Regions from separate parts of the Mus musculus genome. Here all the other regions are reported to be linked to region 1. The links are microRNA targets in miRTarBase. Many come from high-throughput screens and were not tested one by one. Region 1 holds a microRNA gene; each other region holds the end of a gene's coding sequence.
The links. The annotated mature microRNA mmu-miR-7b-5p reads UGGAAGACUUGUGAUUUUGUUGUU and lies in region 1 at 1,152-1,175, shown strand. An mRNA with a match to its seed (bases 2 to 7 or 8) in the 3' UTR can be bound and repressed. Matches are read on the target gene's strand: a 7mer-m8 pairs with bases 2 to 8, a 7mer-A1 pairs with bases 2 to 7 and ends in A, and an 8mer does both.

Region 1 (3,127 bases):
CTCTGGGTACAATGCAAGTTGGCACATCTTCCAGAAGGCCAACTGGACTGTTTAGGAAGGGCAGAGAACCCAGGGCTGTCTCCCTGAGATGTGGGAGCAGGTGAGAGCCTTGCGCCTTCGTCCCCGCCTAGAACACCCCGGGTCCATGGGAAGAGATTAAAACAGAAGATGGGTCCCTAGGACGAAGAACAGAAACAAGGAGCGGGGCATTTTGGCAGAAGGCAGAAGCTGGGAGAGTGTCCTCGAGCCGCACTGACCACCCCCTCCCCCAATAACTAATTATGTTTCAGCACTGGAGACGCGGACAGCGCCATCCGGCTGAGGGACTCGGAGCAGAGTTCGGCTTCAGCACCAGGATTTCGGACAGCTCCCAGCGGGTCACGAAGAGACTAGGCTTCAGCACCCGGCCCCTGGCAGTGCCAAGCTCTCAACACCCAGCTTCAGGGATCGCCTTGGGGTCTGTTCTGGCGGAGAGTGTACAGGGAAGGAACCTCTTAATGGTTCTTGGCATTTGTCCTTTACGGAGGGATTTTTTTTTTCTTTTTTGAAACAGGGTTTTTTTGTGTGTACCTCTAGCTGTTCTGAAACTCACTATGTAGACTAGGCTGGCTTCAAACTCACAGAGTACAGGCGAAGCATTTGGTCAACGAGATGTTATGAGTGCCTCTGGGTGTACTAATTTCCAAAGTGAAGTGGTGAGGGGAAAGCCAGCCTCAATCCAACTTTAAATCTCAAGTTCTTTTTATTTTTAAAAAGAGTTTTTCTCTCAATTATATATATAATTATTATTATTTTAAAACACTGTAGACCAAGCTTTGAACTCCTTGTGTAGCCAAAGATGATCTTGAAGTTCTCATCCTCCTGCCTCTACTCCCTGCGTGCTGGGGTGACAAGTGTGTGCTCCTCGTGCCTGGAACAATAAATCCCACGTTGGTGATGTGCCAGGGTGTGAGTTGGGGGGCAGGTAGAGAATGAATCTTGCCTGTGTCTCAGGGGATGGAATGGAAAAGGGATGTCTAGGGAGGGTAAGTCAGTGAGTGGGGTTTGTTATGCTCAATCCTCTATGGAGAGAGAGAGAGAAGCACTTGAGGGTGTTGAACCTGGCGGAGGAGGATGAGGACGAGGAGCGGAGTACGTGAGCCAGTGCTATGTGGAAGACTTGTGATTTTGTTGTTCTGATATGATATGACAACAAGTCACAGCCAGCCTCATAGCGTGGACTCCTATCACCTTTCTCCTGAAATACACAAACAGGTAGGGGCAGGAAACTGGGACAGGAGGGGGTTAAGGGAAGTCTAGCACGGACAGGAGAGGGTGTCTAGCAAGGTCTCGGGCCCTGGGAGAGTGCAGGAGTGTTTCCCATGCTATTGGCCTGTCACTCAAACACATCTACATGATAGGATCAGAGACACAACCTCAGGGCCCTGGGTCACAGCACCGTGCTTTCTCTGGAGACTCAAATAGGGAATGGTGAGCCAGTGGAGTAACTCAGAGGGAAAGAGTGCTTTGAAATTAGGGAACCCAAGCTTGAGCCCCAGGATCAACTGGGTAGAAGGATAAAACCAACTCCTGCAAGTTGTCCTCTGACCATACATGTCCTGTGACACACATGCTTCCACACACAAATAAATAAACACACATAAAAATTTTTCTTTTTTTTTTTTTTAAGAGAGGGTTTCTGGGGCTGGTGAGATGGCTCAGTGGGTAAGAGCACCCGACTGCTCTTCCGAAGGTCCAGAGTTCAAATCCCAGCAACCACATGGTGGCTCACAACCATCTGTAATGAGATCTGACTCCCTCTTCTGGTGTCTGAAGACAGCTACAGTGTACTTACATATAATAAATAAATAAATCTTTAAAAAAAAAAAAAAGAATTACATTTAAAAAAAAAAAAAAAAGAGAGGGTTTCTGTATATAAACCTGGCTGTCTTAGAACTTACTCTGTAGACCAGGTTACCCTCAAATTCAGAGATCCACCTGCCTCTGCCTCCTGAGTGTTTGAATTAAAAGCATGTGCATACATAAAACTTTTTTTTTTTTTGGTTTTTTGAGACAGGGTTTCTCTGTATAGACCTGGCTGTTGCTCTGTAGACCAGGCTGGCCTCGAACTCAGAAATCTCCCTGCCTCTGTCTCCCAAGTGCTGGGATTAAAGGCATGCGCCACCACTGCCCGGCCATAAAACTTTTAAAAGAGGGATTGGCATCAAAGGTACTTCTAGAAAACCCTGAAATTCTTTTCTCTTTCTTGTTTTCTTTTCCTCACTCTTTTCACTTTGCCTGCTTTGAGACAGTGTCACCTGTAGTCCAGGCTTTTCTCTAACTCTGAATGTAGCCCAGGATGGCTTTGAACACTGAGTTCTCTTGCCTCCAGTCCCTGAGAACCATGCCTAGCATACACGGTGTTGGATTCAGAATTTCAAATGCTTTGACTGGGTACGGTACCCATGGAGCCCCAGCCCAATTTTCAATAAAACTCTGTGCCCGCCACACAAAGCAACCACTAGTTGCATGACTGATACCAAGAAAATGTGGACTTGTTGTCTGGTGGGTCATGGCATTCTTAACATTCAACACCTATCATCTGTGACATTCTAATGCAGTCACTAACCATCCCCCACTGTGCAATTCTCCCCAGCTGTCCTAGTGTGCATCCTGGTGCTGTGACAGGACCTTGACTCAAGAAAAGGGCAGGAAAGAGTTTATTCAGCTTACAATGATGGCCACACTCCATCACTGAGGGAAGTCAGGGCTGGAACCGGGAGGCAGGAGCTGATGCAGAGGCCATAGAGGGGTGTTGCTTACTGGTTGCTTACTTGCTTCCCCTGGCTTGCTCAGTCTTCTTTCTTATAGAATCTGGGACCACCAGTCCAAGGATGGCACCACCCACAATGGCCTTAAATCATTAATCATGAAAATACCTGATAAAGGCCTTTTCTCAATTGAGGTTCCTGCTTCCCTTAAGCTCCACCCGTGTAAAGCTGACATCAAACTCAGTCACACAGCAGCCCAGGGGCTGCTTTGTCCATGCAGTTTCCTCTCTTGGGTCTGCACAGTCCACTCACATAACCTCCCATAACCAACTCTGCCTTCTCCAGGCTTCAGCTCGGTGGGAGAAACTTCCTGTTAC
Region 2 (3,127 bases), not on the chromosome of region 1:
TGAATTTGAGATGAGGTTTCTAACACTGAGTTTCTGGAACAGTGCTATGAGCTTACCCTAACAGCCATAGTACTTAGCACATACCAACCAACCTGTGCTCCCATTCCACCCTACCTGCGCCAAACCCTTATGTTCCATTTAAGCCTGTGCTCTCTCCCCATGCAGGTGTGGTGGGCTCGGGCTGGTGCTGGCCAGTGCAGGTTTTGGCATGCTGACAGCGCCCATTATTGAGCTGCACAACCAAAAAGGCTACTTCCTGCACCATATCATCTTCGCCTGCTGCACGCTCATCTGCATCATTTGCATCCTCCTGCTTCCTGAGAGCAGGAACCAGAACCTGCCTGAGAATATCGCCAACGGGGAACACTACACACGGCAACCGCTGCTGCCACACAAGAAGGGAGAGCAGCCCTTGCTGCTCACCAACGCGGAGCTCAAGGACTACTCGGGCCTGCATGACGTGGCTGCAGTGGGTGACGGGCTGCCAGAGGGGGCCACTGCCAATGGCATGAAGACTATGTAGCTCGCTGGACCACGCCACCATTCCACCAGTCCCCCCGGGGCTTGAAGGGCTGGGGAGAGTTTGCACACAGGTTTACAGACCAGGGAGGAAGTCCATCTCTGCTGCTGACTCCACTCAATTGTGAGACTTTCAACCGGTGTGGGGAATTCTGTCTTTCCAGACATCCGAGGAACACATCTGAGAAACCAGATGCTCTGGAAATAACCCTCTGAAGACTTTCTTTTCTGCCATTCAATGTTTGTATTTATTTTGGTCATTTTTACGAGAAGCACTTTATCCCCTTCCCCCCTCCACTGATCATGAAGCAGAACCTCCTTCAGGAGTGAGGGTCACTCTGAGGAAGTCCCTGTAAGTGACCAATGCAGTGGCCAGTCCCCTCCCTGGAGGCCAGACTCAATTTCCTTCTCCACTCAAGGAGACAGAGGTCATCTGTAGGCCAGGACCCCTACCTCCAGGCTCCCTGCCATGGACAGCTGTGCCTCTCAAGCAGAGAGTCCTTGGGACTACATTTTACACAGAGGAAAATGTACATGAATTGTTGTTTTTCTTTTTTTCTTTTCCTAGAGTCTGTATATTTTAAAGTTGGGTACTTTACTTTCTGTTTGTTAGGTAGTTTCCATGCTGTGTTGGGAAAACAGCCTCCAGATGTCATACGAGCCAGCTTAATCTTTCTTTCCTTCAGGATCATCCTTTTGTACTTGATCTGGAAGTTTTTGTGGGGAAACTTCCATACTTCACCAGAAATCCTACATGATGAGAAAGCGCCAGTTCCCGCCGCCGCCCGGTTTGCTTAGTTAAGTCCACAGCAGCTGTTGTGTTGAGGTGGGAGCCATGTTTGTTTCTGCTAAGACACTTTCCTTGACTGAGCTCCAGCAGCAAAGGTCCCTCTTCCCCAGCCAGCCCTGTTGCCAGTACTACTTGAAAATGTGGCCACTTCCAGAACTCCAAACAAAAGGAAAATAACAGAAAAAGGCAAATCCCAGGAGGGAGTCTCGATGTCCCACACATGGCCGCCACTCACGTCTCCAGCACATACCATAGAGAGCTCCAGCTTGGATGGCTGCCACTCTGACATCACAACAGTGCCCACAGCACCTGGAGGCGGTCCACCTCATGTCTTCCTCAATGGCTTCCTGCCTGTCACTCACTCAGCACAAAAGGGCCCTGGGCAGGAGTGCAGGTTGCTCACAGGTCAGTCCACGTGGCCTCTAGTCCCTTGAAAGCAGCAAGAAGTGAGAGAAAGCAATAACTCACCAAAGCTCAACTCCCATCCTGTACCAGCCTCCCAGGATGTCCTTTATCTGTGTCCCTCATCTTGCCCCAGACAGCAGGGCACCAGGGCTGCTAAGAAACCAGCCTCTGGACCTCTTGCAGCAGCTCAGGCACCAGCTTCTCTGGGCATCGTGGCTTCTTATCAACCATCTGCCTTGCCTCTTGCCATGCGTCTCTCCCACGTGCTCTTCCAGGGAAATCATGGCCTTGGGCCTATGTAGGCAACAAAGTGACTTCTAAATGACAGTTGCTAGAATTCAAAGGCCAGAAAAAGGGTTGAGTTGAGCCCCTTCCAGCTCCTTGTCTGATCTGTTTCTTACAGTCTTACCCACTTCTCTTCCACATCTGATAGAGACATCAGTGGAATCCAGCCGCCTTGATCAAGCCCTCTTGAGAGTACTGATTCCATATGCAACCCTGTTTCTGGCAGCTGGCCTATGTTCTCTTTGATGCCTGGGGTCCTGAGTGCTTTGCTTGAGGACCAACATGTCTAGGAGGGCGGCCATGTGGCCAGTCCTTGATACCTGTTTTAAGTCCAGCTTCCCTTCACTCTCCCTGGTCTCTCAGTCATCCCTCTTCCATGCCTTGAGGTTAGTACACATTCTCTTTCCAAAGCCTCTGTGATCTGTGCAGCCTTTGCGTGCCAAACTTGTAAGATACCATTCACCTTTCCCAGGTACCTGCTACCAAGTCACCTGGCAGCAACCTTCTGTTAAGGACAGAATGGGACATTTGCAGTCATGAGCAGGCTTACACTGGTTGTGTTGGCCTGCAGAAATCACTAGGTTAGTGGTGTCAAGGTATAGCACTTCGAAACTTCTTTTCAAGGTCTCCAATCTCCACCTCAAATGACAGTGGTAAGAACACTAGGCCAATGCAGACAGTGTTAATGGCTGCAGCGACCAGAGGCAACCCATCAGGGATTAGCAAAGAAGCTGCCACTGAGGCAGGGGCCAGAGGACCATCAACCAGAAGGCAGACTGCTGGCAGTGTCTTATGCCAGCCTCAGGGAAAGACTAAGCAGCTCAGTTTCTGCTTCAGTGCATGGACACCTGAAGTTGCTAGAACACCTTCATGAAAGATAGCCAAAACAGGAAAGCTTGCTTGTGAGCCAGCTTGCTGTGTGGTCTGACCAAGTGAGAAAGACAGCAGGCACCCAGGCCTCAGACACTCTGACCTAGCTCCAGAAAGATGGCCACAGCCCAGCTCCCTGGTACCAAGCTGTCATCCCTAAACTTGGCCCTTTGTCCCTTGTGGGCAGATGCTCCTCAAGCACTGGCCTTTGTGTGGGGCCCCTCCCTCCCTGGAGAACGTTAAAAGGTCTTACTCTCC
Region 3 (3,127 bases), not on the chromosome of region 1:
TGCCCCTCTCCCCTTGAAAAGCAGTCATGACTGAGGCACTTGCCTGGAACCTGCCTGGCACTTGGGTTGCTCTATTGAGTAGGTCTATTAGCAGGAAGAACAAGCCAGAACAACCATTGTGTTCTCTGTTCTGTTCCTTCTGGGAAAGGAAGTCACAATGAAATAATTCCTCATTAATATTATTTGTGACTTTAACTGAATGCTTTCAACCAATCGCTCTCAAAATTCTCTTCTCTTTATGGTTTTAGGTAAAGCAGAGCCTGATTGTACTTGAGGAACTAACTATCCAGTATTCATTACTACCTACTGCCCACAATCTGCCCCTCTCTAGAGGATGTTGTATGTGTATTCTGTGTTTGTGTGTGTCTAATAAAGATAAGGCAAGTAGGGTTTGATTTGCTATTGTTGCTAAAATAGATGGCCTGTAACGATTCTGATTCATGAGGGATGTCTACTTAGGGATGTGAAAACTTAGCATGTCTGTTTTCATGCTTAGAAAGGTAATTATCCTTAGCAGAGTGAAACTTTTTATCTCACTTGAATAGAGAAAGGAAGAAAGCTCTGTTTCTGAAAAGCAAGGACTACAAAAGAAAAACCAAATGAGATACAAAAATGCTCCAAACTTTGTGAAAATAAAGCTGGACTGAAAGAAACATCTCTGAGGATCCAGGAAGTGGACTGTCATTCACCAAATCAACTCTACCTTAGTCAGGATTACCCGGGGCCGCCCCACACTCTGTTCCAAGAATAGCCTGCGAGTGTCTCACCAGGAGATACTTCCAGAGGTTGGAATGGCCCAGCAAATATGGAACACAGAATTCTTTCATTAGCTTGAACGAAGGAACAATAGCTTTTTGTCATTTCTTCTCTGAGCCCCTGCCCTTTAGATTGTGTGGGCAGGAGGCAGCCTAACTGGAAACCAAATGCTACTGATGGCAACGCTGCAGAGAACTCTGGACATATTACCACAGAATTCCCACCAGATTAGCCCCACCGGTCAACCAAAAGGAGTAGTCAGCCCCCATTACTGCTTTCAATAGCATGACAAACCCAAAGTCCTTTTAATGGTAGTAAAAATTAGCGTTGATTTATTTAGTCTTGAGGTGGTTTAGAGAAGAAACAACTCCACAAGCGAACGTACTTTCCCCACATGGAGTTTAAGTAGCGGCTTCCCACCAGAGGACTCTGAAGCACATTCAAGCCTCGTCAGATCAAATAGTATTCTGTAAGGAACTGAAATCCGAAAGTTATTCAAATGCCCACATCAAGGAGGCATAAAAAACTTAGAAGACGCCGTTACTACGAAGTAGGGGTGTGTCTGCGTTTTTAAATAGCCATAAAGTATGAGAAATGATGCCACAATACAATGTCAAAACTGGAAAACAGATTCAGCAGAATAACTGCATGGGGGAAACCGTAACACTCGTTCTATAGCTGCTTAAGCTGATGGGAAAGAAGTTGCTCCAAGTCCTCTGAGGTGAGGCTCGAAGCAGGCGGGCGGGGAGTGTCTCCTTTCTATTCGTTCTCTTTACTAAGGAAGAGAAGGTGAGGTGGCTGCCTTCGCAATGCATTCTGGGATGTGCTGCTGACTACCCCAGGCAAGACAGACTTTTTTTTTAAAAAAAGCTCCAGAAAACGAAGCCTAATGAGTCAGTGAGCCCAGGCCTGCCTTGAATCAGCTAGCCATTAAGTGGCATTACACATTTTTGCATTTGTAGAGGGTGATGGGGTGCTGAGGCTCTGCCCCCACCCCCAGCCTTCTCGCTGTAAGGATTGAGTTAGGTCCTAGAGCGGTGAAGGAAAACAAGAAACAAGTCATTTTCCTTCATGTCATTGGAAGAATCCTCTCTCTCTATTGTATGAACCTTAGTTACTTTTTTTTAATAATTAAAAAAAAAATATTTCAAAGCCTTCTGAGACCCCATCCCACACGAGGTACCGTGAAGGGGCACTAAAGTGCATTCTGAAGGAGGGAGTTGAGTTTAAAGGTGCTGTCCAAGCTAAGAAACAAGATGACACTGTTTAACAAAGGAAAGGCAATTCCGTCTATCTCAGCTGAGGGAGAGCGGAGGACTAGACCCTCGCCAGAGGATTGTCCTAACTCTTAACGTGAGAGAAAACTGCATAAGGACCTGCACGTATAGACTCATTTGTCCCAAATAGCAAAAATAGGCCTATTTCATCCTTAAGAAAGTATTTGCAAATCTGCTGAGTCATGATCGTAAAAATGTGGGTGGATTCCAGATGCAATCGTCTGGGCATGCTCTGTGGTGCTAGCTAACACGTCTTCAGCTTCAATGAACATGCTGTTCATTTTCTTCAAAGCATGACTTCTAAACTACCATAAATAAAATACACAAGAAACGATTCAATCTTTTTTTTTCTTACAATAATTACTTTTACATTAAAAAGTCACCATCATCTTCAGATATATCGAAAAATTAGGACTCTAAATCTGCTTGTTTTCTAGTCTTAGTTAACAATCTTGCACAGGCCCGATAATCTAAAACTTGGAGCTATGATCTGCATAGCTTGGCAGGTTTCACACAGTTTGACAGGTAGGCAACTGTAAGATATGCATTTTTTTTAAATTTAGCATTTTTCTATCAAAACAGTTCAAAATCGTTTAAAATCCCCATAGCGACTGTATTTGTGCCACGCCACAGTTGGGAAGCTAGAAAGGAAGGAAGGAAATACTGTCTGGAAGATTAATCACAGTCCACATAACTCTTGGCCTTCAGGTTTAAACAACGATGAGCCCAGCAAAGGCAATACAGTGCCTTAAATAGAAGACTTGGTCCTGTAATAGAATAATTTAAGCAACTAAACGGGGACCGTTTCCACCACGGGGGACTGAATGCACTCTTCATGCAATCTGCTCTTTTCTGCAAGGCTCAAAGGATTTTCTGCAGGATGCTCTGAAATGTGGCTGTCGCCATTCAATGTGGAAACAAACCCTTCCTGGGCAGGGCCTTTCAAGTATGAGTGAAACTCCACTTGGGGAAGATTGGACCTGTGTTCAGGATACAAGGGGTTACAGGGCACCCCACTATCGTTTTCAGAGGTGGGGCAGCAAACGATGACAGACGGATTGGCAGCTGGGTAGTGGGAGGCTCCATAGGCCTCT
Region 4 (3,127 bases), not on the chromosome of region 1:
GAGTCAGAGGTAGAACATCTTCCTAGCATGAGCAAATCAGTACATCCCCTCCCCAGCAAAGCAAACAAGGTGGTATCAAAACAAAACAAAAAACAAAATGCAACAAACTGTCAAGCAAACACAGCTGTCCTGAAGTTCCTGGTCTGCTGAGAAAGTGACTGCTAGAAATTCGGACAGGAACAGGGAAAAGGGAATCTCAAGGATCCAGAAAGGAAATGGGGGTGATCTGGGAGATATGGAGACCAAAACAGATGAGGGCAGCTCAGGGAACCCAAGCCCCAGAGAGTTCTGATCACACTGACCCTCAAGAAGCTGAAGGGGGAGAAAGCACCTAGGAGAGAGACCTGCAGGGCCTCCCCATCATCCCAGCATCCCCCTGTGATCATTTTTCTTTCCCCAGGCCCAGGATCCCTGGAGAACTCAGCTCCAAGGCCTCCAGGGCCCCTGACCCTCCTCTCTGCCCTGAGCTGGCTGTGGTGGAGAATGTAGACACCATTCAGTACAGCGCATCCCCCCCTGCAGGGGGCCTCAGGCCAGGAGCGAGAAAAAGGGGGTGAGCAAGCGCCAGCCACGGGTCTCCAGGGGGACAGAAGAGCTCTTAGCCACAGAGGAAGAAAGAAGAAGAGGAGGAAGGTCTTTTAGAGAACCCATCACTGTGAGGGATTATGAAAAATTATGCATCTTTCTACAGCCATTCTCGCCACCCCGTTCACGTTTCCAATTGTGACCCACCCCCAGCCACCCCACACCCCTCTCTTAGCTCAGGCTGTCAACTGGCTCGTGTGTGTGTGTGTGTGTGTGTGTGTGTGTGTGTGTGTGTGTGTGCGCGTGTGTGTGTGAAGGTGTGCTGGGGGAGGGAACCAGGAGGCACCCCTCTCTGGCACAGACCCCCCCATGGCCCCTAGCCATCCCTGCTGCCTGCCTCTCTTCCTTTGGCTGGAGGTAGGTATGGGGGCTTCGTGGTGGAAGCTTTGACAAGAAGATTGCCAGCTTTCCACCTTCCCATATATGCATGAACACCTACCCCTCTCCTCCCTATTGAAGGGGCAGGTAGGGTGGGTGTCAGGTGTCACTCAGCCTTTGTGAATAGGTGGGGATCTCCATGAAGGCTGTTTCTCCCTGCTCCATCACCAGTTGCCTGCAGCCAGACGCTCCATCACTGGCTCAGTGGCCTGAAACCTCCCTTGCCCTGTCCCTCTCCTCCCCTCCCTTCCCCTGAACTTTCTGGCCCTCTTCCCGGGCCAATCGGTGCTTCCATTCAATTGATAGGCTAGTGGCACTTGTCACCTGTCTGTCTCAGTGCTTTGCCCCACCCATACCCCCAAGACTCCCCTTGGCCACAGTGGTACCCTCCAGCTGCCCTTGGGCCCCAGCAGCTGGCCCATAAGTATGGGCTCTCTGACAACCTGCTCCCTGGCCTCTCAACCCATAATACCTCCAAAGGCTGCTGTGACCACACACACACATACACACACACACACACACACACACACAGCATGCATACATGCACGCTCATGCACACACAAACACACATACACATGCACACATGCACGCACACATGCACACCAGCGACTGACCAGCAATAGCTCCTGGCTTCACCTGCCCCAGAGTCTGTAACTAGCAGCAGTTTCCCCGGAGTGGGCCACTGTCATCCACACAGGAAGCTGACAGGTTCTGTGTATGGGAACACCTCACTTTGCTACACGTCAGGCCTCACAGAGTTGGGAGAGAGGAGACGCACAGACATTCTGAGCCCAGGCAGAGGCACCATGCCACCAGCCCAAAATCCAGTAACCACACACCCAAAATCACACCACTCCGAGCCTGGTGAAGACGAGGGCAGAGAGGGGCAGGGGGGCAAGGGGCAGTGACTGTACCTCAGACGGGGGCGTGGGCCCCATCCCACATTGTCTTCCATTCCCAGGGTCCGGGATGGGGTGGGGAGGGGGAGGGCGACAAGGGGAGGTGGGAGGGGGGCCCTGGGGGCCGTGTGTTCCAATTCATGGGGAGTGTTGAGACCACCACACCAATAAACGCCTTTTTCCAAAGTCCCCGCCTGTGGAAGTCAATGTCATTGAGAATTTGGGCAAGTGGACCGCAAAGGAGGGATGGTCATTTGATAGAGAATTCCCAGTGCCTTTCCTAATTCTGCCTGTTTGGGAAGTGAGCTCCAATTGGCTGGTCAAAGAGGCTCAGTGTCACAGCCTAAGGATGCAGGGTGACTCTACCTATTCTGTACAGTGGAGAGGGCTAAGCAGGTAGCAATGAGGAAGAGGCCAGCGTAAGATTGAAAGAATGACAGCAATTCAGAAAAAGACAAGGGGCAAGGCTGGAGAATCCGTCAGAATGCATCTTTAGAGCAGCTGGATCAAAATCTACCTGACGCCCCCTCTCCCACACACAAGCAATAAAACCTGTGTTTATATAAACTAACTTGTGTCAGGCTTTCTGTTGGCAGTGATTAAAAAAAAAAAAAAGACACAAAATCTTGATTTTTTTTCCTCCCCTTTTGTATATACAGTACTAGGGATTGAACTCAGTCCTCACTATGAGATTCTAGGCTGAAGCTCTACCACTGAGCCACGCCCCAGCCCCTCACCGTGAGATTCTAGGCAGGGGCTCTACCACTGAGCCACACTCTCACCCCCTCACTGGGGGATTCTAGGCAGCTGCTCTACTATGGAAACATCCTTAATGTTTTGAGAAAGGTCTCCCTGGGAGACTCTGGCCTAAGTATGCGATCTTCCTAGTTCAACCTCCCAAGTGCTTGTGTTACCCTGCACTATATGATGCCCGATGTCTGTTGCTTGCAGCCATAAGAATCCTCACTCTTGTAACTCTAAATTTCCTATTGGAACTCTTGTTGGAAAAGGAAGATATATCTTGCCAAGGATAGGAGCAACACCAGTAGCCCTTTGCAGGCACTAGCACATTTCATCAGTCCACGAGTATTTATTGAGTGCCTGCTATATGCCAGGCTATGTTTCTGCTGGTATATGTGTGGTGTGCGCCTCACTGAGCTCTCAGTTCAGAGAGGGAAAGTTATCGATATCCATCGTTACACACTCATGGGATGAGAGGAAGCTGGGGAGAGGGGGAAGTCCGTCTAATGTGGTAATGGCTACTT
Region 5 (3,000 bases), not on the chromosome of region 1:
AGGGAATCTGAAAAGGGGACAGTGGGTTTCCAGACATTTGCCGCTACCAGAGTCTTGCCCTTTGGAAATCGGAAGAAATGGCTGTAATGGGTGTTGTGTGTCAGATCCTGTCAACAATGTCGCGGAAGCTGCACTGTCTTGTGTCCCTGCAGGTCTTCCATTTGAAGCCTGGCCTGTCTCTCAGGAGTACTTTCCTTGCACAGTTCCTCCTCATTCTTCACAGAAAAGCCTTGACACTAATCAAGTACATCGAGGATGATACGTGAGTCCTGCTCCTCTAGAGGAAAGCCTTTATGCATTGACAGTTGCTGTTCGTTCCCTTTGAACATTGTCTGTATTATAATGCGGGGGTTTTTGTCTCTTTTGTTTTGTTTATAGGCAGAAGGGGAAAAAGCCCTTTAAGTCTCTTCGGAACCTGAAGATAGATCTTGATTTAACAGCAGAGGGCGATCTTAACATAATAATGGCTCTAGCTGAGAAAATTAAGCCAGGCCTACACTCTTTCATCTTTGGGAGACCTTTCTACACTAGTGTACAAGAACGTGATGTTCTAATGACCTTTTGACCGTGTGGTTTGCTGTGTCTGTCTCTTCACAGTCACACCTGCTGTTACAGTGTCTCAGCAGTGTGTGGGCACATCCTTCCTCCCGAGTCCTGCTGCAGGACAGGGTACACTACACTTGTCAGTAGAAGTCTGTACCTGATGTCAGGTGCATCGTTACAGTGAATGACTCTTCCTAGAATAGATGTACTCTTTTAGGGCCTTATGTTTACAATTATCCTAAGTACTATTGCTGTCTTTTAAAGATATGAATGATGGAATATACACTTGACCATAACTGCTGATTGGTTTTTTGTTTTGTTTTGTTTGTTTTCTTGGAAACTTATGATTCCTGGTTTACATGTACCACACTGAAACCCTCGTTAGCTTTACAGATAAAGTGTGAGTTGACTTCCTGCCCCTCTGTGTTCTGTGGTATGTCCGATTACTTCTGCCACAGCTAAACATTAGAGCATTTAAAGTTTGCAGTTCCTCAGAAAGGAACTTAGTCTGACTACAGATTAGTTCTTGAGAGAAGACACTGATAGGGCAGAGCTGTAGGTGAAATCAGTTGTTAGCCCTTCCTTTATAGACGTAGTCCTTCAGATTCGGTCTGTACAGAAATGCCGAGGGGTCATGCATGGGCCCTGAGTATCGTGACCTGTGACAAGTTTTTTGTTGGTTTATTGTAGTTCTGTCAAAGAAAGTGGCATTTGTTTTTATAATTGTTGCCAACTTTTAAGGTTAATTTTCATTATTTTTGAGCCGAATTAAAATGCGCACCTCCTGTGCCTTTCCCAATCTTGGAAAATATAATTTCTTGGCAGAGGGTCAGATTTCAGGGCCCAGTCACTTTCATCTGACCACCCTTTGCACGGCTGCCGTGTGCCTGGCTTAGATTAGAAGTCCTTGTTAAGTATGTCAGAGTACATTCGCTGATAAGATCTTTGAAGAGCAGGGAAGCGTCTTGCCTCTTTCCTTTGGTTTCTGCCTGTACTCTGGTGTTTCCCGTGTCACCTGCATCATAGGAACAGCAGAGAAATCTGACCCAGTGCTATTTTTCTAGGTGCTACTATGGCAAACTCAAGTGGTCTGTTTCTGTTCCTGTAACGTTCGACTATCTCGCTAGCTGTGAAGTACTGATTAGTGGAGTTCTGTGCAACAGCAGTGTAGGAGTATACACAAACACAAATATGTGTTTCTATTTAAAACTGTGGACTTAGCATAAAAAGGGAGAATATATTTATTTTTTACAAAAGGGATAAAAATGGGCCCCGTTCCTCACCCACCAGATTTAGCGAGAAAAAGCTTTCTATTCTGAAAGGTCACGGTGGCTTTGGCATTACAAATCAGAACAACACACACTGACCATGATGGCTTGTGAACTAACTGCAAGGCACTCCGTCATGGTAAGCGAGTAGGTCCCACCTCCTAGTGTGCCGCTCATTGCTTTACACAGTAGAATCTTATTTGAGTGCTAATTGTTGTCTTTGCTGCTTTACTGTGTTGTTATAGAAAATGTAAGCTGTACAGTGAATAAGTTATTGAAGCATGTGTAAACACTGTTATATATCTTTTCTCCTAGATGGGGAATTTTGAATAAAATACCTTTGAAATTCTGTGTATGTTTTAGTTCATTATTTAGGGAAAACGCTGCTGTGAAAGGGGGCGTGATCAGCTTCCTATTCTGCGACAGTCGTGTTGAACGGAACCCATTGGTTTTCATCTTCGCTCCCCCCCCCTTGGTTTTTCGAGACAGGGTTTCTCTGTATAGCCCTGGCTGTCCTGGACCTCACTCTGTAGACCAGGCTGGCCTCGAACTCAGAAATCTACCTGCCTCTGCCTCCCAAGTGCTGGGAGGCAGTTGCCCCACCAACTAGTCTTCTTTTTTCAAAGAAGATATTTAAAGCTAACGAATAATGCTAGACTCTTACATCTTAAAAAAAAAAGAAGAGAAAAGAAAAGAAAAGGTAATCACACTGCCCAGTGTGTAGTGCATGCTTCTACTTCCGGTCCTTGGGAGATGGGGGCAGGATGAGACGCTCCAGACCGGCTTCCAATACAGAGTTCAAGACCCACTGAGCTACGTGAGGCTACACGAGCCTGCCTTTAAAAACATAAAGCTAAAGCTTTCTTCTTAACTTCCAGTATTGCACCTTGATTCCCCCTTCAAATTTCACATACAAAATAATTCTTAAATTCTCTTTTGAAAAATGTTCTACTGAGGCCAGAGAGACAGTTCGCTTGGTAAAGGTGCCTGTTGCCAAACGTGATAACCTGAGTTAAATCATAGCCCCACATGGGGGAGGAAGAAACCCCCGCAGCTTGCCCTCTGATGCCATGTATGCACTAAAACACGCACGTGTGTGCGCACACATTTTTTAAGTTCCTATTACATTGATAGTAATATAATTTAAACTGATTTATTCTCCCCAAGTCATTGATACGGGTGTCCAACG
Region 6 (3,127 bases), not on the chromosome of region 1:
CACATTGGTCATTATTCAAACAGGCCAAGAAGTGCCAGCCCCCACTGGGATTATTAGGAGGCTCAGTATGGAAAAAAAGGAAGGGACAAACCCTGGAGATGGCTTTAACCATGACATACGGTCCCCATAGGCTGGCAAAGGAGGAGGTGAGCCGGCAGGAGCTAAGGCAGCGGGTCCGCATGGCCGACAACGAAGTCATGGATGCCTTCCGGAAGATCATGGCTGCCCGGCAGAAGAAGCGCACCCCTACAAAGAAGGAAAAGGACCAGGCCTGGAAGACCCTGAAGGAGCGGGAAAGCATCCTGAAGCTCCTAGACGGGTAGCCTGACCTGCTGCTGGCTATCCCCCTGGCCTGGCAGAAGTCCACAACATCCTTTGAAGCCTTGGCCAGAGGCTGCCTATCAAATGACAACAGTCTCAGGGCTGAAACACTCTCAGGCCACCCAGCTGAGCTTTGTGCAGCCAGTATGCAAGGCCCTACTGCGCCTGCCTGGACCTAGCATCCGCCTGATGCCCCAGATGAGCGGGCTTGTTCCTCATCCCCTCCCCCCTTACCGTCTCCACACCTCTCCTCAGGGACTTCTTCCTTGAGGTTTTGTAATGTACAAACTTAAGAATAAAGTGACTGCTGTGTTTCATTTTTTAAACAAAAAAAAGTTATAAAAAAACCACCCGCAAGTTTAGTATCTATCTATTATTTGTGGGGTAGGAAGAACAGGCAGGTGGAAGGGTTTAGTGGGGCATGCTTGGGGTCTCCGCTGTGGCCACTCACCCGGAACATTTATTTTTGAGCTCTAATTTCTGAGGGTCTGGTGGTAGGAGGGTGGGTTCCTGGTTTCCTGGGGCAGGATTGCATTCAGAGCTACTGCACGGGGCCACCAAGGACCTGTTCCCTCAGGTGTTTCTTCCATGCCAGCTATCACTGGGATGTCTCTTCAGCTGTGGGTGGCAGACAGGGTCTGTCACTGAGGAAAACCTAAAGCCAGCTGGCCATGGCCTTGTCCCAGATGTCCCTGTGTGTCGTTTCTAAGCCCAAATTGGGGCTCTCCTATGCATTGCTAGCACAATCTCTTGGGTTAAGGGATCTTTTACTGCAGTGGTTGTCAACCTGTGGGTCATGACCCTTTTGGGACTAGAATAACCCTTTCGCAGGAGTCGCTCATCAGATATTTATATCGTGATTCATGACAGTAGCAAAATTACAGTTATGAATGTACAAACTTAAGAATAAAGTGACTGCTGTGTTTCATTTTTTAAACAAAAAAAGTTATAAAAAAACCATCCGCAAGTTTAGTATCTATCTATTATTTGTGGGGTAGGAAGAACAGGCAGGTGGAAGGGTTTAGTGGGGCATGCTTGGGGTCTCTGCTGTGGCCACTCACCCGGAACAGTTATGAAGGAGCCACAAAAAATCATTTTATGATTGGGAGTCTCCAATATATAAGGAACTATATTAAAGGGTCACATCACTAGGAAGGTTCAGAACCGCTGGTCTACTTGGACCTCATTTTAGAAGTTTTGTTTTGAAAATGGGCTCCTGGCTGGTTCTAAACTTGTGGCAATTCTCTTGCTTCGTTCAGCCTTATATCTGCTGGGATTACAGGCCTGAGCCATGGTGATACCTGACCTACTCAGAACCCCAACCATGCAGCCCCACAAAGTTCTACCCACAGTGATAGCAGAACCCACCAGGATCCGGGCAGATAACAAATGTAGCGTGGACTACCAACATTGTATCATAGCCAGGGGAGTCAGTCCAAGGAGTGCACACAGACTGTACTCTGCTCTCCCAGTTCTCTCCAGGCAAGGGCTAGAGCCGGAGGGGGTTGGCAGTCTGCTACGGCAAAGGATAGGCAATGAGCTTTGAACCTAGCCATAAGAGAGATGTAGTAGAAAAGCCTGTAATCAGAAGCTAAGGTAGGAAGGCTGCAGGTTCAAGGCCTGCTTGAGCTATATAGTAAGACCCTGTCTTTAAAAAAAATAAAATAAAAAAGTAAGAGGGTGGCATCTCTCCATTTCAGGAATGTCACTGTCAAGATAGGGTGGACATGTTACCCTAGCCCAGCCAGTCATAATGATTGGTCTAAAACTGGCCATGTGTCTCAATCTGGGGTCACTCAGGCCTTCCTTAAAATTGCTCTTTGGGGTCTGGAATGGTTATATGAATCGACATTCTTAGCCCTTAGGAAGTAGACACAAGGTCAGGAGTTCAAGGATAGCCTCAGCTACTTCGCATGTTCAAAGACAGTCTGAGTGAGTTGCTTGAGACCTTGTCTCAAAAACTGGACAACAATTGGAGTTGAGCAAGATGGTGCAGCCTGTAATGCCAGCACTGTGGGGGTGGACATAGCAAAATTGAGTCCAAGGTCATCCTGGGCTGGACATCAAGCTTGAGTGTTAGCATCGGCCACATCAGGCCCTGTCTCTGACACAACAGAACGAAAAGGAAGGGGAGGAGAAGCAGAAGGGAAGGACAAAGAGCAAATAGAGGAGGCGTTCCCAAGGTACCCAGTGGCCTGCTTTCCTGCCACTGCGAAGGACCCCAACTCAGACGCAGGAGCTGGAGAAGCAGGCACGCCCAAAGCCATGTGACCTCCCCGACACAGACTGCTTAGTTACATCAGCCTGGAGAGGCTTCAGTTAGCCTAAGCAAGGTTGTTTTGGAGTTTTGTCATTTGTAAATAAAAAAGGTCTGACTAATCTGTATATTTGGACAAATAGAAAGATGGAGGAAGGGCCTGAGGGAGTGACATCAGGCTCTCTGCCTGCTTCTAGATGCAGGGACAAGTAATGACTCATTGTCCCCAGACTGTTCATATCTTCTCAGGACAAAAAAAAAAAAGACCCACACATGAAGCAAAGGCAGCAATTCTAACAATAATGATGAAATTAAGTATTCAGAAGGTATTAGCTAGGTTCCAGCTGCTGTCCTAACCTTGTTTGTGCATACAGTAGGGTACCAACAGCATCCCATCTTTCCCAGATGAGAAAGCAGAGGCTTAGGAAGTTTATACATCTTGCTTGGATTAAGTGGTTGAGCCAGGATACAAACCCAGCCACGTGACTTGGAGGCAGTCCTTGTTCTATAATTCAGTATGGGACTCCCTGTCCCAGTAAGAGCCCATGT
Region 7 (3,127 bases), not on the chromosome of region 1:
TAACAATCAGCAAGATGACAGCTCTAAAGTATTTTCTTACTGTTATATGTCTCGGATTAACACAGAAAACCAACCCCACCTCAACCAGATGCTAAAGCTAAGTTATCAAAAGAACCAGTGCTGTTGACTTTAAACCCTTAGACCTCTGCTCAGGACCTGTATGTCACACCTTGGATGCTCATGGTCCACCCATGAGCAGTGTATAGTGAGAGCTGTAACTGGCTTCTAGTTAACATCTAAGTATGCAGCTTTTCCAGTTAGAAAATCACTCTGCTGCAGACAGAGACACTGGAATTGTGAAAAAGACATTTTTAATTGTCTGAGAGATAGAAAGAGGGAGGACAACGTGCCTCGCAGACTTCAGAGTTTCTGCATGGCTAAGTGGTGAAGTCTATCTGAGACCAGTACAGGTTACCCTCCCCTGCCACCACTCCCCCTTCCTTCTTCTTCCTCTGCTGTATGCTCGGCCCTTCATGACACAGTTCTCAGTGCTGTTAACTACAGCCTGAAAAACTGAATATGCTTTCTCAACACAAAGGTGATAAGCTTTAACTTCCCATTCAAAAGCAGAGAAGCAACCAAATCTAGGAATAAGTTGAAAGCTGAGCCTTGTCTCCTGTCTAGGAAACTGGTCACAAGTAAGCTAGAATTTGTCATGATTAGGAAGGTCTTTCGCATCCAAAAGTAAAAAGCGCATGATCCTCCACCCCAACCGACTTCCTCTCACTGTCCTGTGTGCCTGCCAGTCACAGCAGAGCGGCTGCCAAGTGAGCCGCGTCCCTCATGACAAACGTCAAGGACACAGAAAGCCAGTGCACGCTGCGCGTCCTAAGGACACAGAAAGCCAGTGCACGCTGCACGCATCCTAAGGACACAGAAAGCCAGTGCACGCTGCACGCGTCCTAAGGACACAGAAAGCCAGTACACGCTGCACACGTCCTAAGCGCACTGCGGCTGAATGCGCAGGCTAAGTTACAGTTCTCTCACGGCTGAGGAGGAATTACTCTCCCAAAGCAGAAACTCCTCGGCAATACTTATTTTATAAAATTTTATAAACAGGAATATTAGCCCCAAATTGTATTTTATAAATACTTAGCGCCAAGGAGTTTTTGCTTTGTGGGAATAAATAATTCCTTTTTAAAAGAACAACTGGAGACCAGTGACCATTTGATCAACCGTGTCACTTTCCAACCTTTATATTTTAACATTTATAGTTTTCCTTTTTCTAGTCCCTTTTACAAACAGAATAAAAACACAGTTCCTCTGAGTATATGAATTCCTCTACAGAAGACATGGGACTCAGCTGGCATTGAACTTTGGACTTAAAATTACTACCCTGAGATAACCTGAGATGGCTCTTTGGTATGTAACAGGCAACTGTGGGGGCAACTTATGAAAACTAAAGATTCAAAAGTGGAAAGGTAACTGAAACAAATAAGGTTAATAACTTTAGAGTTGAGAGACAAATTAGAAATAATGTATTTGACAATTCATAATAAGAATAAGTAAGGCTCAGGCTTGGTTAACATCACGTTTCTCAGAGATGTCAAAGCTAGAACTATAGTTTGGGTCTAGTATTCCTAGCCAACTATTCCTTATACCATAGAGTGCTAAGAGTGGAGAAGTTGTTATGGAGACGTCTTGATCCTTCTTATAACATCCAAAAAGTTCAAATTCTGATTTCTAATGCTTTAGTTCAGGTCCTATGAGTGAAGAGTGATACTCAGGATTTGAAGGCGAAGACCAAGAAAGGACAACTCAGAGCATGTAAGCCTGTAAGGTCTGATCCCAGTCTTTCCCTCCTGTCCTGACACAGCCGACTTCTACACTAATGCACACATTGCTATCTGCCTTGAGTGTTTGTAAAACTGTGCTAGCAAATCCCAAGAGTAGAGCCGAGTATGGACACTGAGCACAGCTCCTGTGTGGCTGCTGCACCACAGGCAAGCTTCTCTCTCTCCAGGCAGCCACGCTTCAGAGCGTACATACACAGTGCACTCGGTCCCTGCAAACTAAGAAGTGAGCATTTTTTCTTCAGAACAAGCTACATCAGGACAAGTAACAGAGTCAGGCAGAAGCTAACCTAAGAGAACATTTCCACCGACAAATTCTCCAACATGAGTTTGCAATGCCCAGGGAGAGCAACATTATCCGTACATGGTGTATATTTAAGGCTAAAAACTATTTAAGGTGGCTGCTTGCATTAGGAACTTAAAAACAAAAAATTTTTAAGAGAAAATTTCAAATTTCAAAAAGTAAAAGTGAAAATTTGAGAAGTTAGCATATATTTGTTTTTATTTATAGATAACTACCATAGAACTATCGAGAAGGGAAATGGCATCAACATGAAACTTACAACAGGTAGGCGACGGCATGCGGGGAGGGAACAATATTCCTATACACTTGGACAGGAAGAACACCACTGACACGGAGGTATGTACTTAGTGCGGAATAAGGAATTGTGGCTACTTAGAAATATGCAGAACTTACTTAATCTGTGCTTTAGAAATAATTATATATAGTATTACAAGTTCAAAAGAATCCAAAAGAATAATTAACAATATACACCCAAGTGTTAGAATTCAGAAAAGGCTGCATTCTGTAAAGTTGTCAGCTGTATTAAAAATGACACCAATCCAAAACAAAGTGAATATAATATAAAAAGGCATTGTAAGCTTTGCTTCCTGTATTAAACCCAGATTATCCATGGCATTTTCTTTTAACACTCATTTAATCAGAAGCATGCAAATAGTTTGAGATCTACTTAATCATTTTTGCCAAATTTGCTAAGGCTACAGCCGCTTTTCAGGCTAGGCAGGGATTCGGGTAGCTGCCTCCTCCTCTGCGTCAGCTCGGTTTGCGTTAATTTCTGCGAGTGTTCGGCCAAATCTTGCCCATTCATCATTTCGGGGAACAGCGATCTGCTGTTAAAAGAAAGACAATGTTTGCTGAGCAATGAAATAAAAATTCATCTTATCTACTATTACTTTGTTTTCAAGTAATCTTTCTGTTGAAAAGTAATAACTGACCTAAAGAGCCTTTCCATAATTACAGCGACTATAACAATGATTTACAACATTTCAAAACAAAAGGTGTTTGTAAAACATGTCGTGGCAGCCTCAGAAAT

Region 2: the mRNA of Slc22a23 is a reported target of mmu-miR-7b-5p. Seed matches in the 3' UTR shown: 7mer-m8 at 1,639-1,645, 7mer-A1 at 1,982-1,988, 7mer-A1 at 2,131-2,137 and 7mer-A1 at 2,370-2,376.
Region 3: the mRNA of Csrnp3 is a reported target of mmu-miR-7b-5p. Seed matches in the 3' UTR shown: 7mer-A1 at 2,702-2,708 and 7mer-A1 at 1,835-1,841.
Region 4: the mRNA of Iglon5 is a reported target of mmu-miR-7b-5p. Seed matches in the 3' UTR shown: 8mer at 1,910-1,917.
Region 5: miRTarBase lists C9orf72 as a target of mmu-miR-7b-5p. The part of its 3' UTR that is shown has no 7-base or 8-base seed match.
Region 6: the mRNA of Tada3 is a reported target of mmu-miR-7b-5p. The part of its 3' UTR that is shown has no 7-base or 8-base seed match.
Region 7: miRTarBase lists Dync1i2 as a target of mmu-miR-7b-5p. The part of its 3' UTR that is shown has no 7-base or 8-base seed match.

The regions. Positions count from the first base shown.
Region 1 is chr17:56,241,866-56,244,992 of GRCm38, forward strand. It overlaps Mir7b (microRNA 7b), which reads left to right and starts at 1,123; the gene lies at 1,123-1,233. It overlaps A230051N06Rik (RIKEN cDNA A230051N06 gene), which reads left to right. Exons shown (of 2, transcript NR_155493.1): 2 at 291-940.
Region 2 is chr13:34,180,350-34,183,476 of GRCm38, reverse strand. Slc22a23 (solute carrier family 22, member 23) reads left to right here. Exons shown (of 10, transcript NM_001382849.1): 10 at 166-3,127. The coding sequence ends at 523. Among named protein-coding and RNA genes, the nearest start is that of Gm52037, 16 kb to the left of the region's middle.
Region 3 is chr2:66,022,720-66,025,846 of GRCm38, reverse strand. It overlaps Csrnp3 (cysteine-serine-rich nuclear protein 3), which reads right to left. Exons shown (of 7, transcript NM_153409.5): 7 at 1-3,127. The coding sequence ends at 2,824. Among named protein-coding and RNA genes, the nearest start is that of Gm52514, 96 kb to the right of the region's middle.
Region 4 is chr7:43,471,825-43,474,951 of GRCm38, reverse strand. Iglon5 (IgLON family member 5) reads left to right here. Exons shown (of 8, transcript NM_001164518.2): 8 at 401-2,048. The coding sequence ends at 489. It overlaps Vsig10l (V-set and immunoglobulin domain containing 10 like), which reads right to left. Exons shown (of 10, transcript NM_001368881.1): 10 at 2,938-3,127. Among named protein-coding and RNA genes, the nearest start is that of Gm39000, 6.8 kb to the right of the region's middle.
Region 5 is chr4:35,190,447-35,193,446 of GRCm38, reverse strand. C9orf72 (C9orf72, member of C9orf72-SMCR8 complex) reads left to right here. Exons shown (of 11, transcript NM_001081343.2): 10 at 153-262; 11 at 379-2,162. The coding sequence ends at 565. Among named protein-coding and RNA genes, the nearest start is that of C9orf72, 34 kb to the left of the region's middle.
Region 6 is chr6:113,364,184-113,367,310 of GRCm38, reverse strand. Tada3 (transcriptional adaptor 3) reads left to right here. Exons shown (of 10, transcript NM_001372392.1): 10 at 131-678. The coding sequence ends at 323. Among named protein-coding and RNA genes, the nearest start is that of Tada3, 12 kb to the left of the region's middle.
Region 7 is chr2:71,262,445-71,265,571 of GRCm38, reverse strand. Dync1i2 (dynein cytoplasmic 1 intermediate chain 2) reads right to left here. Exons shown (of 16, transcript NM_010064.4): 16 at 2,269-2,924. The coding sequence ends at 2,811. Among named protein-coding and RNA genes, the nearest start is that of Dync1i2, 52 kb to the right of the region's middle.